Linked DNA regions of Canis lupus familiaris. The protein of the gene in region 2 interacts with the protein of the main gene of each other region in a pairwise test. Links are inferred from orthologs where the notes say so. Each region holds a gene or a part of one and is shown on either strand. Other genes may lie near its edges.

What was found.
Region 1: the proteins of LEMD3 (region 2) and SMAD1 interact in binary tests that used the Homo sapiens proteins (3 or more experiments, as listed by UniProt). The link is inferred for Canis lupus familiaris from reciprocal best matches to the Homo sapiens genes LEMD3 and SMAD1.
Region 3: the proteins of LEMD3 (region 2) and SMAD9 interact in binary tests that used the Homo sapiens proteins (3 or more experiments, as listed by UniProt). The link is inferred for Canis lupus familiaris from reciprocal best matches to the Homo sapiens genes LEMD3 and SMAD9.

Annotation. Positions count from the first base shown.
Region 1 is NC_049236.1:44,385,250-44,389,346, reverse strand, and holds the start of SMAD1 (mothers against decapentaplegic homolog 1), read right to left. Parts: upstream 2,802-4,097; 5' UTR 2,696-2,801; intron 459-2,695; exon of another isoform or gene 151-458; intron 1-150. UniProt on the Homo sapiens protein: Transcriptional modulator that plays a role in various cellular processes, including embryonic development, cell differentiation, and tissue homeostasis.
Region 2 is NC_049231.1:8,180,414-8,184,059, reverse strand, and holds part of LEMD3 (inner nuclear membrane protein Man1), read right to left. Parts: intron 2,491-3,646; coding exon 2,411-2,490; intron 2,326-2,410; coding exon 2,180-2,325; intron 1,251-2,179; coding exon 1,149-1,250; intron 1,047-1,148; coding exon 944-1,046; intron 298-943; coding exon 119-297; intron 1-118.
Region 3 is NC_049246.1:3,831,921-3,836,330, reverse strand, and holds the start of SMAD9 (mothers against decapentaplegic homolog 9), read right to left. Parts: upstream 2,945-4,410; 5' UTR 2,888-2,944; intron 2,847-2,887; exon of another isoform or gene 2,786-2,846; intron 2,705-2,785; exon of another isoform or gene 2,660-2,704; intron 883-2,659; exon of another isoform or gene 813-882; intron 1-812. UniProt on the Homo sapiens protein: Transcriptional modulator activated by BMP (bone morphogenetic proteins) type 1 receptor kinase. SMAD9 is a receptor-regulated SMAD (R-SMAD).

The DNA.
Region 1 (4,097 bases), on a different chromosome or scaffold from region 2:
GCTAAGAGTTCCAGCAACAGGATGACAGAGTGACATCATGCAACTTCTGTATCATTCCACATGCTTTGAAACTTCGGATACAATGGAAAAGAAGAGAACAGGAAGGGAAGGGGGGGGGGGGTAGGGAAGGCCGGTTGCCACAGCACTCACGAAAACGATGCTTTCTCAAGAAGATGGTTCGGAGACGTGCCTCGATTTTCAGAAGGGAAGCGCCTCGCGGGCTATCTTGCACAGTAGATGGAACAATCGTTTGAGCCTCAAAATAAACAAAAGCCGCAGCTACTGTAGTTGTGGGATCCGGCAGGCGTTTGTTCCTCCTCCCTTCCTAAAGTGCATCAAGGAAACGTTCTCCCTTTAAGCCCTCATGTGTATAAAGCAACTAGAAAAACAAGCCCACGTCGGTCTCGCTCACACCCACTCCCCCCACCTTCCTCCAGCAACGAGCCCGAGGAACACTAACAAAGGCGGCGAGCGGAGTAAATGAACAGTTGTTCAACAGCGAACTCACAAATACACATGCAGTGAGGCAATCGAATCCGGTAAAGGGAAAGGAATGAGACGACACTTGGAGGCGCACGGGGTGTAGGCGGAAGAGAGAGGGGAAAAAAAAAAAAAAAAAATACGCGCCGCCGCCAAGCCTTTGAATAAATTAGAGGGAATTTCGGTGCGAACTTTCCTTGACCTCGACCCCCAAGAGGCTCGCTGGGGCAGGGAAAGGCCCCCGTGCGGGATGCGGAGGCGCGCGGGGCACCGGGGGCCCCTGGAGCCGGCCCCGCTCGGCCGGGCGCCCACCGCGCGGAGGGCAGCGCCCCGCGGCCGTCCCCCAGCTCCCGCAAGGGTCGCCCGGGCCGGCGGGACACAATGGGGCGGCGGGCGGCGGGCGGCGCGCACGGGCCTCGGCCCGGCTGCGGAGGGGGAAAGAGGGCGGGAGGGGAGGTCCCGCGGCGGCCGGCGCCGGGGAGAGGCTCGGGCGGAGGAGCGCGGCTTCCCCACGGCTGAGCCAACAAAGACGCGAGGAGAACGGCGCCGAGCCCCGCCTGGCCGGCCGGGCGCCACAGCGGGAGCGGGAGCGGGAGCGGGAGCGGGAGGCGGTGGCAGGTCCGCTCCTCGGCGCGGCCGGGAGGCGCCATCATGGGGGGGGCCCGGCCCGGCCCGCCCCGCGCGGGGAAGAGCCCCCTGCCCGCCGCGGCCCGCGTCACCGGCCCCGCGCTCACCCCACGGGAGGCGGCGGCGGCGCTGGAAAGCAAGCGCCGGGCGCCGAAGGAGGGCGGGGACGCGGCCAAGGAGAAAGTTGGGTGCGGGTCTGTTTCGTTTTACCGGGTTGGCGGCGCGCCCGTCCGCGCGGGCGCACGAGGGGCCGGACGAGCGGGGTCCCGCGGCCCCGGTCCGGCCGGCGGGGCGCTGCGCTCGCAGGGTGCCTCCCCGCGCCTCGGCCCGGGCTCGGCCGCTCGGCCTCCGCTTCCTCCGCCCGCCCGCCCGCTCCCGGAGCCTGGATTGATCTGGTCGCGCTGGCGTCAGGGAGTCGGAGCCGCCCAGCCTCCACTCGGCGGCTGCCAACAGCCGGCGCACTCGCCCGCCCGCCCGCACGCTCGCTCGCTCGCCCGCCCGCCCGCCTGCTCACACGCGCACCCGCGCGCCGCCGCCGCCGCCGCCGCCGCGCGACCAGGGATCCTCTCCAAATTCCCGGCCGCTGAGCGCGAGCGCGGGGCCGCGGGGCCGGCCACCTCCCTGCTCCCGCCTCCCCCAGCCCGCCCCCGGCCCCACGCCCCGTTGACTCCAAGGAGAAAGAAACCAGCCTTCTTTCCCCTGCTTCCTGGAGTCCCGGCGGAGCGGGCTTGGTGCGTTATCCTCACGTGAAGTTCGAGGTTTAGTCTTTATTTTCTGAACTACTCATCACCCGCCCACCGCGCCCTCCGAACGCTACCACCGCACCCGCGGGGCGCGTTTCTGACCATTCTCTTTCAGACCTCTCCTTTTCATGTCCAGTTTCCATTGCCCTTCACTTTTGCACGCCCCACAAGTTGCACGTACCCAGAACTGGATAGCCTAGTGCTGCTGCATCTGCTTACACCCACCCGTATCGCTGTTTTGTGTTTTGGGCCAGTTCAGTATGTGATGACTTGAGTGGGTAACGTAGTGGTTCTAAGTAATGGCAGATGCCACAGTGGAACTCAACTTTTTTTTTTTTTTTTTTTTTTTTTGGGATGGAACTCAACTTTTGATCCGATTTCTATAATCTTTTATATGACACCAACCCCCTAAAATAAAAACAGACTGGCTCTCATCTAACCTGATCTGCATAGACCTCGAACATATCTTTTGTAAGAATTAATTTTTCCCTTGGCTAGCTCTCTGGAAGCTGGCATGAAATCTTGGATAATTACCATAATGTTGAGTTATGTTTAGAGAGGAATGATTACTCTGAGGAATAAATTTCTCACGAACTCAAAGAACCATTACCACCAGTATAAAGAAAATATCAAAGACCGAAGGAAGTTAATGGTACTCTCCAATTGTTCATGCACCTTTACATGTCCACAGTCTATTTTAAATTCATATTTCTTAATTTATTTCTGCATTCCATGTTTAATTATTCAAAAGAAATGCAACAAGCCCCATAAGACATACAACACTTTGTAAATTATAGATCAGAATATTTCAGTTCATCTCTTTGTTAAGCTATTTGAGCACTTACTGGTCAAGTCTTGGGCCTCATCTTATTTTCCCTAAAAGCAGCATTTGACACAGTTCATCATTCTCTGCTCCTTGAAACAACAGCTGGCCTGAGCCTTGTGAAATGCCACTCAGATCAGGTCACTCCTCTGCCCAAAACCCTTCCCTGGTAAATAGAACGTGCTGTATACACAATGGAACATTATTCAGTCATTAACAAGAATGAGATACTGACACATGCTGCATGAATGAACCTGGAAAATATTGTATCACATGAAAGAGGCCAGATACAAAGCCCACATATTTGATTCATATTGAAATACCCAGAATTGGCCCATCTGTAGAGACAGGAAGTAGAATGTTGGTTGCCTATGTTTGGGAGGATAGGGAGATCGAGGAAGAGCGATAGCCAAAGGTTATCGTGTTTCTTTGGGGGGGGGGGCGTGTAAAAAATGTTATAAAATTAGTCTGTGATGGTAGTTACACAACTCTGTGGATATATTAAAAGCCATTGAATCGTGCACTTTAAATGGGTAGATTAGATGGCATGTGAATTTTGTTTCAATAAAGCTGTTTTAAAAAGATACAGCAACTAAATGTAGTGTGTGATCCTTAATTGGACCCAGGATTGTGGGAGAAGCTATGCAATGACAATAAAACTCACTTTTTATTTTATAAAAATTATAAAATTATTACATTTTAACCTACACATGACCTTGCTTAGTACAGTTCTGATCGCCACAAATGACAATTATTCACACTGCATATGCTATGCAATTTGATTTTACCCTTTGTGCAAGTTATTTCTTTAAATGGCGGCAATAAAAAATTGGATACTTTTTTCAAAAAAGGACATTATTTGGACAATTGTCAAAGCTTGAATATGGCTTGTGTATTGATATCATTGTATCAGAAAACCTTCCCGTGGCTCCCCATTTCATTCAAGTAAGAGTTCTCACCATGTGTACAAAGCCCTCCCTGATCTGTGCTCCCAACTCCTTCCTACCTGATCTCCTACTCTCTCCCTTGCTTACTTCCTCAAGTCAACCTGGCCTCCTCACAAGTCCTGGAGCAACCTGAGTCCAATCCCATCTCAGGGCCTCCACAGTAGCTGTCTCCTACCTGGAAAGCCCTTCCCACATGGCTGTGGGCCTTCCCTCACCCCTCTCAGGTCTTCATCCAACTGTTCCCCTCTCAATAAGACCCAGCCTGGCCACTCTATCTAAACTTTTACCTACCCCTCCCAAACACACATGTTTTGTAATCCTCTTTCCCTATCACTACCTAACTACTTAGCTGAAAGAACAGGACTTTTGGTCTGTTCGGTTCATTGCTATTCTCTCAGAGCCTAGAACAGTATCTGGCACCCAGTAGGAGCTTATTAAACACCTGCTGAATGAATGAATGAATGAACGAACAAACAA
Region 2 (3,646 bases):
GGAAGTTTGCCCTTGTATTTTTCAACAGTAGTATTTTACTTTAAACATATTAAGACTTTCGTAGTTGAAAAAAATTGGAAAAACACTATGTTTATTTTTGTTGTTTAAAAATACATACCTTGACCTTGCCATACTTTAGAAGGTATTACTAATATTTTGTCACAGGAGGCAGAAGGTTGGATCCATCGCCAAACTAGAAAATCTGCACCACCTATTCTTCGTGTCTCTGTGCGAACTCTTGACTCATTAGCAGCAAGGAAGTCAACAGCTCTATCCCAGACTTTCTTCATTTTTTTTCTATCATGTGAACAAAATGACAAATTTACTGGCATCTTGGCTTGGAATCTTTTTCATGTATTACTAATTGAAGGCAATGGTTATTATTATTTCTGATTTTCCTTATCATTGCCTACAAAATTTTTTCAAAAAAGACTTAGATGCCTAAAGCTCACCTCAAATTTACTGAATTTCATTCCTCAGAGGTGAAGCATCAGTAATCCGCCCCCTCCCCAACTCCACTAATGATTCTGAGGTGTTGCTATGGTGAAGAATGCTACAGTAGGATATAGAATCATTTATTTTCAAGAAGTCATTATTTAGTACTTTTACTGAAAAAGTTTCATTAACAAAATATTTAAGGCGTTATTAACAAAACATCACTATTATCTGTTTCTTTATGAAGATGAAATTAAAGGAAATAAGGTGAAGATAAAAATAAAAAATGTATAAAAGTGATCATGATTTAGAAATCCAGTTGTCTTTACACTGCTCAAAATCAGAACAGAAGGGAATTTAAAAAGGAAGGAGAGTTTAAGTACAAAAAATAAAGCCTGTACAGAACAGCTCTACTTGAGAAAGGCTTCAATTCCCGATATAATCTTCACAACTTCAGAAATACTACCAACATTCTGATCTAGTTCAACTCGTAATACTTTGAACATACTTGTCATGAGGTTGTATTAAGGAATCTTGCACATGTGGAATAGGCATGTAAGGTTGTAAGTCTTTATTTTCCTGGCAAGCTTCATTATGACTTCGTAAAACATCTGAAAAGATAAATTTACAAATGAATCAATCATTGATCATGTTATAATTTATCACATAATTACTATTATAGAAATAGTTTAGATTTTTACAAATACTTATACCTATAATCTTTACCACCATATCATACATCTGCCTTGTTTCCTCCTCTTCTTTTGTCCAGCGATATTTCATGTAACGCAGAACGACACAAACCATCACAACACCTGCAATATTTATAAGTTTTGTGTTTGAAAAATTGTGCTCAGTGACATTCAATAATATTCACTGCCACCTGAAGTTATTGGTCTAGTCGTTAAATCTGATGTTAACAAAACAAAGCAAAAAAAGAGAAATCTTATGACAGTTTCCACAGTGATTATTTTAACTGCCATAATAGGATAATGGAATGAGCCTTCATAACAGTAGGCTGAATTACCTACATAAATTACAACCACATAGAACAATTTAGTATTGAGCATTTTCCAGAGCTTCACTTAATCTCTCTAGAAACCATTTCTTTCATGATGCTGACAGCTGAACATTTTAAATTCTATTATTTTTTTGAAAACAGCATAACTATGTTTCACAAGCTTTTTCCTTTGCCACATTAAACTATTAGAAAAGTGGGTTTCCAAAGACCATAAACATACTACATCTTAGGAAAATTATTTTTAAAGGACTTAAACAGAGAAAAGAAAGAAATGCGTTATCTTCTAAATTTCTATAATCAATCAAAAGTCACATAAAATCCAGGAACCCAAGTAAAAATTTTAATGCAGGTAAATTATATTTTTTAAATTAATAATAATTTTAATGAACTTAATTTATACTTTATCATTTTAAAAATCAGCTTAATTTTCATATTTCCCGTTCTATTTTCTAAAGATAATCTATGTCTTTTTTATGACATTCTTATAATAAAGTTTTATTCCACCTCCACTTATAGCACTGTTTTCTAAGCCCTTAGATAAATACTGACATTATTTAAAAAAGAAAAACAGCTTCAATATTACTCTACCCTAGTGAAGGCTTCTGTATGTGATTTATAATGGCAACTATCACAGAAGTAAATTCTCAACCCTGCCATTTGGTGAAACACAGCTATAAAAATTCTAGACTGCCATGTATCTTCTTTCTCATCCCAATAACTTACCTAAGCATAACAACAATAACCTGTGGGTGACAGTAATAAAAGCACGTCGAAAGCGACACCAGAAAGACATCTGTGGTCTTGTGGACTGTAAGAACTGCACATCGGTTATGTTTGTCAATTGCTCCTCAGGGCCATAACCAACACACCTAGTTAAAAATAATTAAGGAGACTTTAGAGTCAAAATTATTTCTTATACTACAAAGTGGTCAAAGTGGAAATTAAATCCTTTACCTTATTCCAACATCTTTTCCATTTTCTAAAATCCACTTCAAAGAAATATTAAATATATCTTCATATTCAGGGCCTAAATCCTAATAAGGAAAATAGAGAACATAACTATTCCTAATAATTCATATTCATTTGACTCTATAAGCTATACTATAAATACCATACTTTTATCTTTATATAACACTTGAAACTGTATTACACAACAAAACTGTATTACAGAAAAATGAAAGGGGAAAAAAGTCACAATTTCCCCATCTTCCTAAGATAAGTACACTTAATATTTTGTTATATTTTCTTTTTGGTTCTTTTACATTTACAGATTTGGGGGTTTTCTGAAATATAATTTGTCTTTTAAGTATCACTGTGATAAAAGTGAATTAGCTACTTATTTTTTTTATAGAACCCTATATTTTTAGATGAACAAATGGCAAACTATACAGACTTGCCTGTTTCACTGACATTTTCTCAGTAAGTGAATGAAGCAAGCATGTCAACTTAAGAAAAACAGCTGACTTTGTTACCAATGATAACATTCAAGCTTTCAAGTGAAAAGTAAAATTTAGAAAAAGTTGCATCCATTACTAGGAGTTTGATGACTTCACAATACTTAAAAATTTTTGCAATGAAACTGGGTAATATTAAAGAATGTGACTTTGTGGTATGGCATAATGAAATATGTCAACATTGGGAAGATCTGCATAAACAGCAAACTAGTATTTTCCAAATGAACCATGCAGGAGTTACTAAATCTTGCATAGGTAAAAGATCTATTTTACATGCAAAACAAAGGACTTTAGAGACAGACTTTACAAAAATCACTGATATGGCTTCAAACTGCACATTGCAACTAATCTTGAAGAAACTACCTCTTAAAGAGTTTTGATGCAGTATCAACAAAGAATATCTACAATTATCTGAAAAGAGTATTAAAATGTTCCCGTTTTGACTATGTATCTGTATGAGACTAGATTTTCTTGATGTACTTCAGCCAAAACATTGAAACAGACCCAAAACAGAAGCAGATATGAAAATCCAGTTGTTTTTTTTATTAGCCTACATAGTAGATTAAAAAGATTTGCACAAATGTAAAACAATGCCATTTCTCACTATGTGCCAGGTACTGTTCTAGGACCTAGAGATAGATGTAGCACTAAGCAAAACTGTGAAAATTGCCTGGGTTCACGGAGCTTAATGTTCTATTCAATTTTATATCTTTATGTACTTTTTTAAGTACAAAGA
Region 3 (4,410 bases), on a different chromosome or scaffold from region 2:
GTTAGTTTATTGCCAAGGGGTAATTGTTTATTTTTTGTTATGGGACTACTCATAACATGGACCTTCACCAGCTTAACAGAAAAAAATCTCTATAAAGCATGCTCAAACTATTAGAACTACTTATGAATTTACCGTTTGCTTTTTTTTTTTTTTTTGCTTTAGAATAACTTTTCAACTCACTAGCAACAGTAACCAAGGAAATATAAATCCAACAGCCTAGAATTACAACTATTTGAAGAGATTCATGCTTTCAATGTACTGCTATATTTATTCTTTTATTCTGGAAGCTTCTCTGTTTCTGAATTCCCCTCCAAATGTTAGAAGCAATAAACAAAATCTGCACTCAGGTTTAAAATGTAATTAGTATGTTTTGCAAATTAAAAAAAAAAAAAGATCTTAATTTTCCATAACCTTTACTTTCCCTTAAAGCAAAGTACAGTCTGCGGGTAAGTACTATTTCTGACTTACTAAAGGCGAATATGATGAAATTGCTGTTTTATTTATTGCAAAAGGAATGTGAGATATAAACTAGTTAGTTGCCTAAGTGCCATAGTGACCACTCCTGAAACATCAGCTCTCCCAATCTGGCAAAGGAAACTGAACTCTCATTAATCGGAATTAAACTATCCACAACACCTAAAACGAATATTTCAATCTTTATGAAATAATTTCTCGACAGATTTCTTTTCTCCTTCAACTGGCCACATGGACAGAAAGGATAAACAAATTTGCCTGCTGTTTATTACTGATAGATATCCTTGGCAAGGTTTCGTTAAAAACAACAACAACAACAAAGCTCTTCTTTCTCATACCATGTCTTGAGCAATCAGGGATGTAGTAGTTGACATCTGTGAACATTCTCTGATTAGCCATTAACTGAAGATATAGAAATAAGAGAAAAATATTTTAGAGGGAGAAAAGTCATATAGTTCATGCTGACGTTAAGACACTGATGATGATATCTCACAAAGATGTGAGAATCATAAAGTTCTTAGGCGTTTAACCTAAAATTTGCTTATACCTTTGATCTTCAGTAAACACTGTACTGATAAAAATGAGTTTGTTCAGATTAAGAATATGTTGGCACTCTCTTAAACATAGCTTAAAACCACAGAGCTGAAGCATAAAACAACTGGGACAAAGATAGCCAGTCAAGCATAAAAATGGGAGTTGGTTGTGTCAGAATAGATTAAGAGGCTGAGGGCTGTCTGCTAAAGACAGTTGTCTTGCCATCAATGAAGGCAATTATTATCACTAAATGTTATTTTTCTGATATATTATTATTTTAAACTTTTGTCATATTACATTTAAAAATGCCCCTTATTTATAAACTATTACATCATTTTCTTATCTGCAGTGTCCGTCTTGGAAAACCACAAACTTGAAAACAGTCCAAAATCTTGTTCATGGTTTCCTACAAGCATAGAAAGATTCACTTATTGAATTTGGAGTTAGGAGAATGTATTTGGGTTTTACTTTTACTTCCTTTTTAAACATAGATCGCTATTTTAAAATATAAACATCCCATGGCATTCCCTCACACCGACAGGACTCCTGAGGCAGAAGATAGATTTGGAGCGTGAACATTTCACTCACTCAGAGGGATGCCCCAAAAGCTCTGCTTAGTAATGGCCAAGGAGGTGGCACTATTAAATGCCTTATGACTTTACAGTTATCCTTATGTATCCTTACAGTTATTCCTGCAAAAACCACACTTGCAAAAGATCATCCGAGAAATTCGGCAAACCACTGAAATGCACTTGTAAACTGGATCCATTAAAAGCAGCCCACAGCATCTTGCGCGTGTGCATCCCGCTGTTAACTACCGGGTAGATCATTCACAAGCAATTTTATTCTGAAACTAGATTTGCATTCTTTGCAGGCTCTGTCTCAGGAGTGCCCCTCCCAACCCAGAAACGAGTCAACGCAGTATTTCTAAATTATCGTCTGAAATTTCCACTGTCAAGGGTGGGAGGAGGAAGGAATAGGAAGGGAAGAGGGTCGGCGATTAGCCACCCGTGAAAGTGTTTTCCCCTCGCGCTCCTCCCTGCGCTCACAAGGCTGGCGTCAGGGAGTCTCCCGTCTGTCCCCCGCCTCGCCCCCTCCTCTCCCCGCGGCGGGCACCGAATGGGGGCGGAGGGAGGGAACCTCGCAGCTCCCCACACGATCCAAGCGCCGGCCCGAGACACTCCAACAACATTCCGGACTTTTTTTTTCTTCCCGCTTCGCGTGTCTCAAAGGTAAGCAGAGCAAGAGAGCCCAGGACACGGAGGCCAGCGAGGCCGGCTGAGTCACAGTCACCGCCCCCACTCCGGTTGCTCCACTGCCCCCCGCTCTTGCTGAGCTCCGAGTCTGGGCGTCCACGGCGCCTGTCCCCGGCGCCCGTCCCCGGCGCCCGTCCCCGGCGCTCGACCGCCGCGCGGTGCCCGGCCCGGCCGCCCGGGGCCAGCGCGCATCCCTGCCCCCGCCCCGGCCCCACGCCCCCGCCCCCGCCCCCGCCGCGGGACGAGCATCTGCCGCAGGTCCCAGGTGCCCGCGGCCCGGGCGCGCCGCCAAGGCTCCGAGCTGCCCCCTGCGGCCCCACCCGGCCCCACCCGGCCCCACACAGGCTCCACCGAGAACCGCGGGGATGCAGAGTACAAAGAACCGAGTCACACACCGAAGGGCCTCGAGACTTCCCCGGGGAACGACGCAGCCGCACACGCGCGCACACACGCGCGCACACACGCACACACACACCACAAGCGCGCGCTCGCCCGGAGCGGGCCGGGAGGGCATCGCTTACCTGTCCCCGCGGTGCCACTGCTCCCTCCCCCACCCTAGGCCTGGCTGCCCCCCGCCCCCGCCGTGGGTCCCCAGCCGCCCGCTCCGAGCGCCGCGCACTCACTGCGAGGCTGCGCGCGCCCAGCGGCTGCAGGGCCCGGCGGCGGCGGCGGCGGCGGGGACCGAGACAGCGGCTGCGGCGGCGGCGGCCCCAGCCGGCGTCAGTCAGACTGGAGCCGCGAAGCCTCATCGCCCGTATTAGTGCGCCGACCTGGAAAGCGGCCAGCAGCCCTGCGCACGGGCCCGCCCCGCCTGCCGCCGCGCGCCCCGCCGCCGCCCCGGGAGCCCGCGAGGCGGGGGGAGCGCGGCCTGCCCCGCGGCCACGTGCGCGGAAACTTGCTGCGGCGGCGCTCGGCGCGGCCCCGCGCTGCCCCCCCCCCCCCGCCCCGGCCCCGGCCCCGGCCCCTGCGGGACCCCGGGCTAGCCTCGGCGGCTGATGGAGGCCCCGGCCGCCCCGCCTCTCGCCGCCCCGCCAGTCCCGAGATGTCTTGTGTCCGCCTGGAGCCTGGGGCCGGGAGGGCCGTTGCCAGAACTGGAGGCACAGAACAGCAGATCGCGGTGGACCTCCCTCCCCCAGCAGCCACCCTTTCTGACACGTGCCGGGCCCCGACGGTTACCGTTACCTGCCGTGCGTTCCTTACCCGCTTTTCACGCTAAAGGGATCACTGCCCCCATCCGCAGCACCAAGCAACTGGTTTTGCACCGGCACGGGCAGAAGAAAACCTAATCACTGTAAGTGGTTAGTGGTGGTAAAAACTAGTCATGTAGTTATGTGGATTCTCATTTCTTTATGTATATTTATTTGCTTAACACCCTAGCATATGATATATAATATTACTTAATAAAGATACACCCTGTGGACGCTGAGCAACGTTAATGCACCAGCTTCTTGCCTCAGGGCCTGGCTACGCCCTAGGCAGCTTGCTCTTTGAGGTCACTGTGGACTCCGGGAACCTACTCAATACATTTAGGAAAAGCCCTCAACATACTGATGTTCCCCATCAGCCAGTAGCCCTTCACGGAAAACATAGCATTGAGCATCAAGAGGACAGTATTCCTTTTGCTCCTATGTATAGAAAAATCATACCTCCAAAAGGCCCTGATGCCTGAAATGTAAATGCAAGGCTTCCAATTTAACTGCTTTTTCTACTTCTGAAAGCACTGTGCTTTCTTGCCCTGGCAGATGCCATTTTTGCATTATCATACTGTTGTGATTGACCAATGACCTTGTATGAAAAGGCATTTGTGTTTGAACCTTAAACTCGAATTTAATTAAGTCCTACACCTGACCCATTTACCTCTATCTCTGCTCCAGGTCGGGTGTTAGGATTGAAACTGCTATGGGTGTGAAACACCAGGAAACGTTTGGACTGCTAAATGCTCCAGATAGGGCTTGATGTGCACTTTATGACAAGTAAACTGATTAGGTCCTCAGAATTAATACCTTGTGGCTCACAAGGTTGATTTTGTTTTGTTTTTAATGTTATTGAGAAAAGAAATGGCCAGTCACTATTTCAGCTTCCGTATGTGCATTAGATGATGTAGAGGACACAATGCAGAGCAAGAAATTATAACCTCTGCAATGCT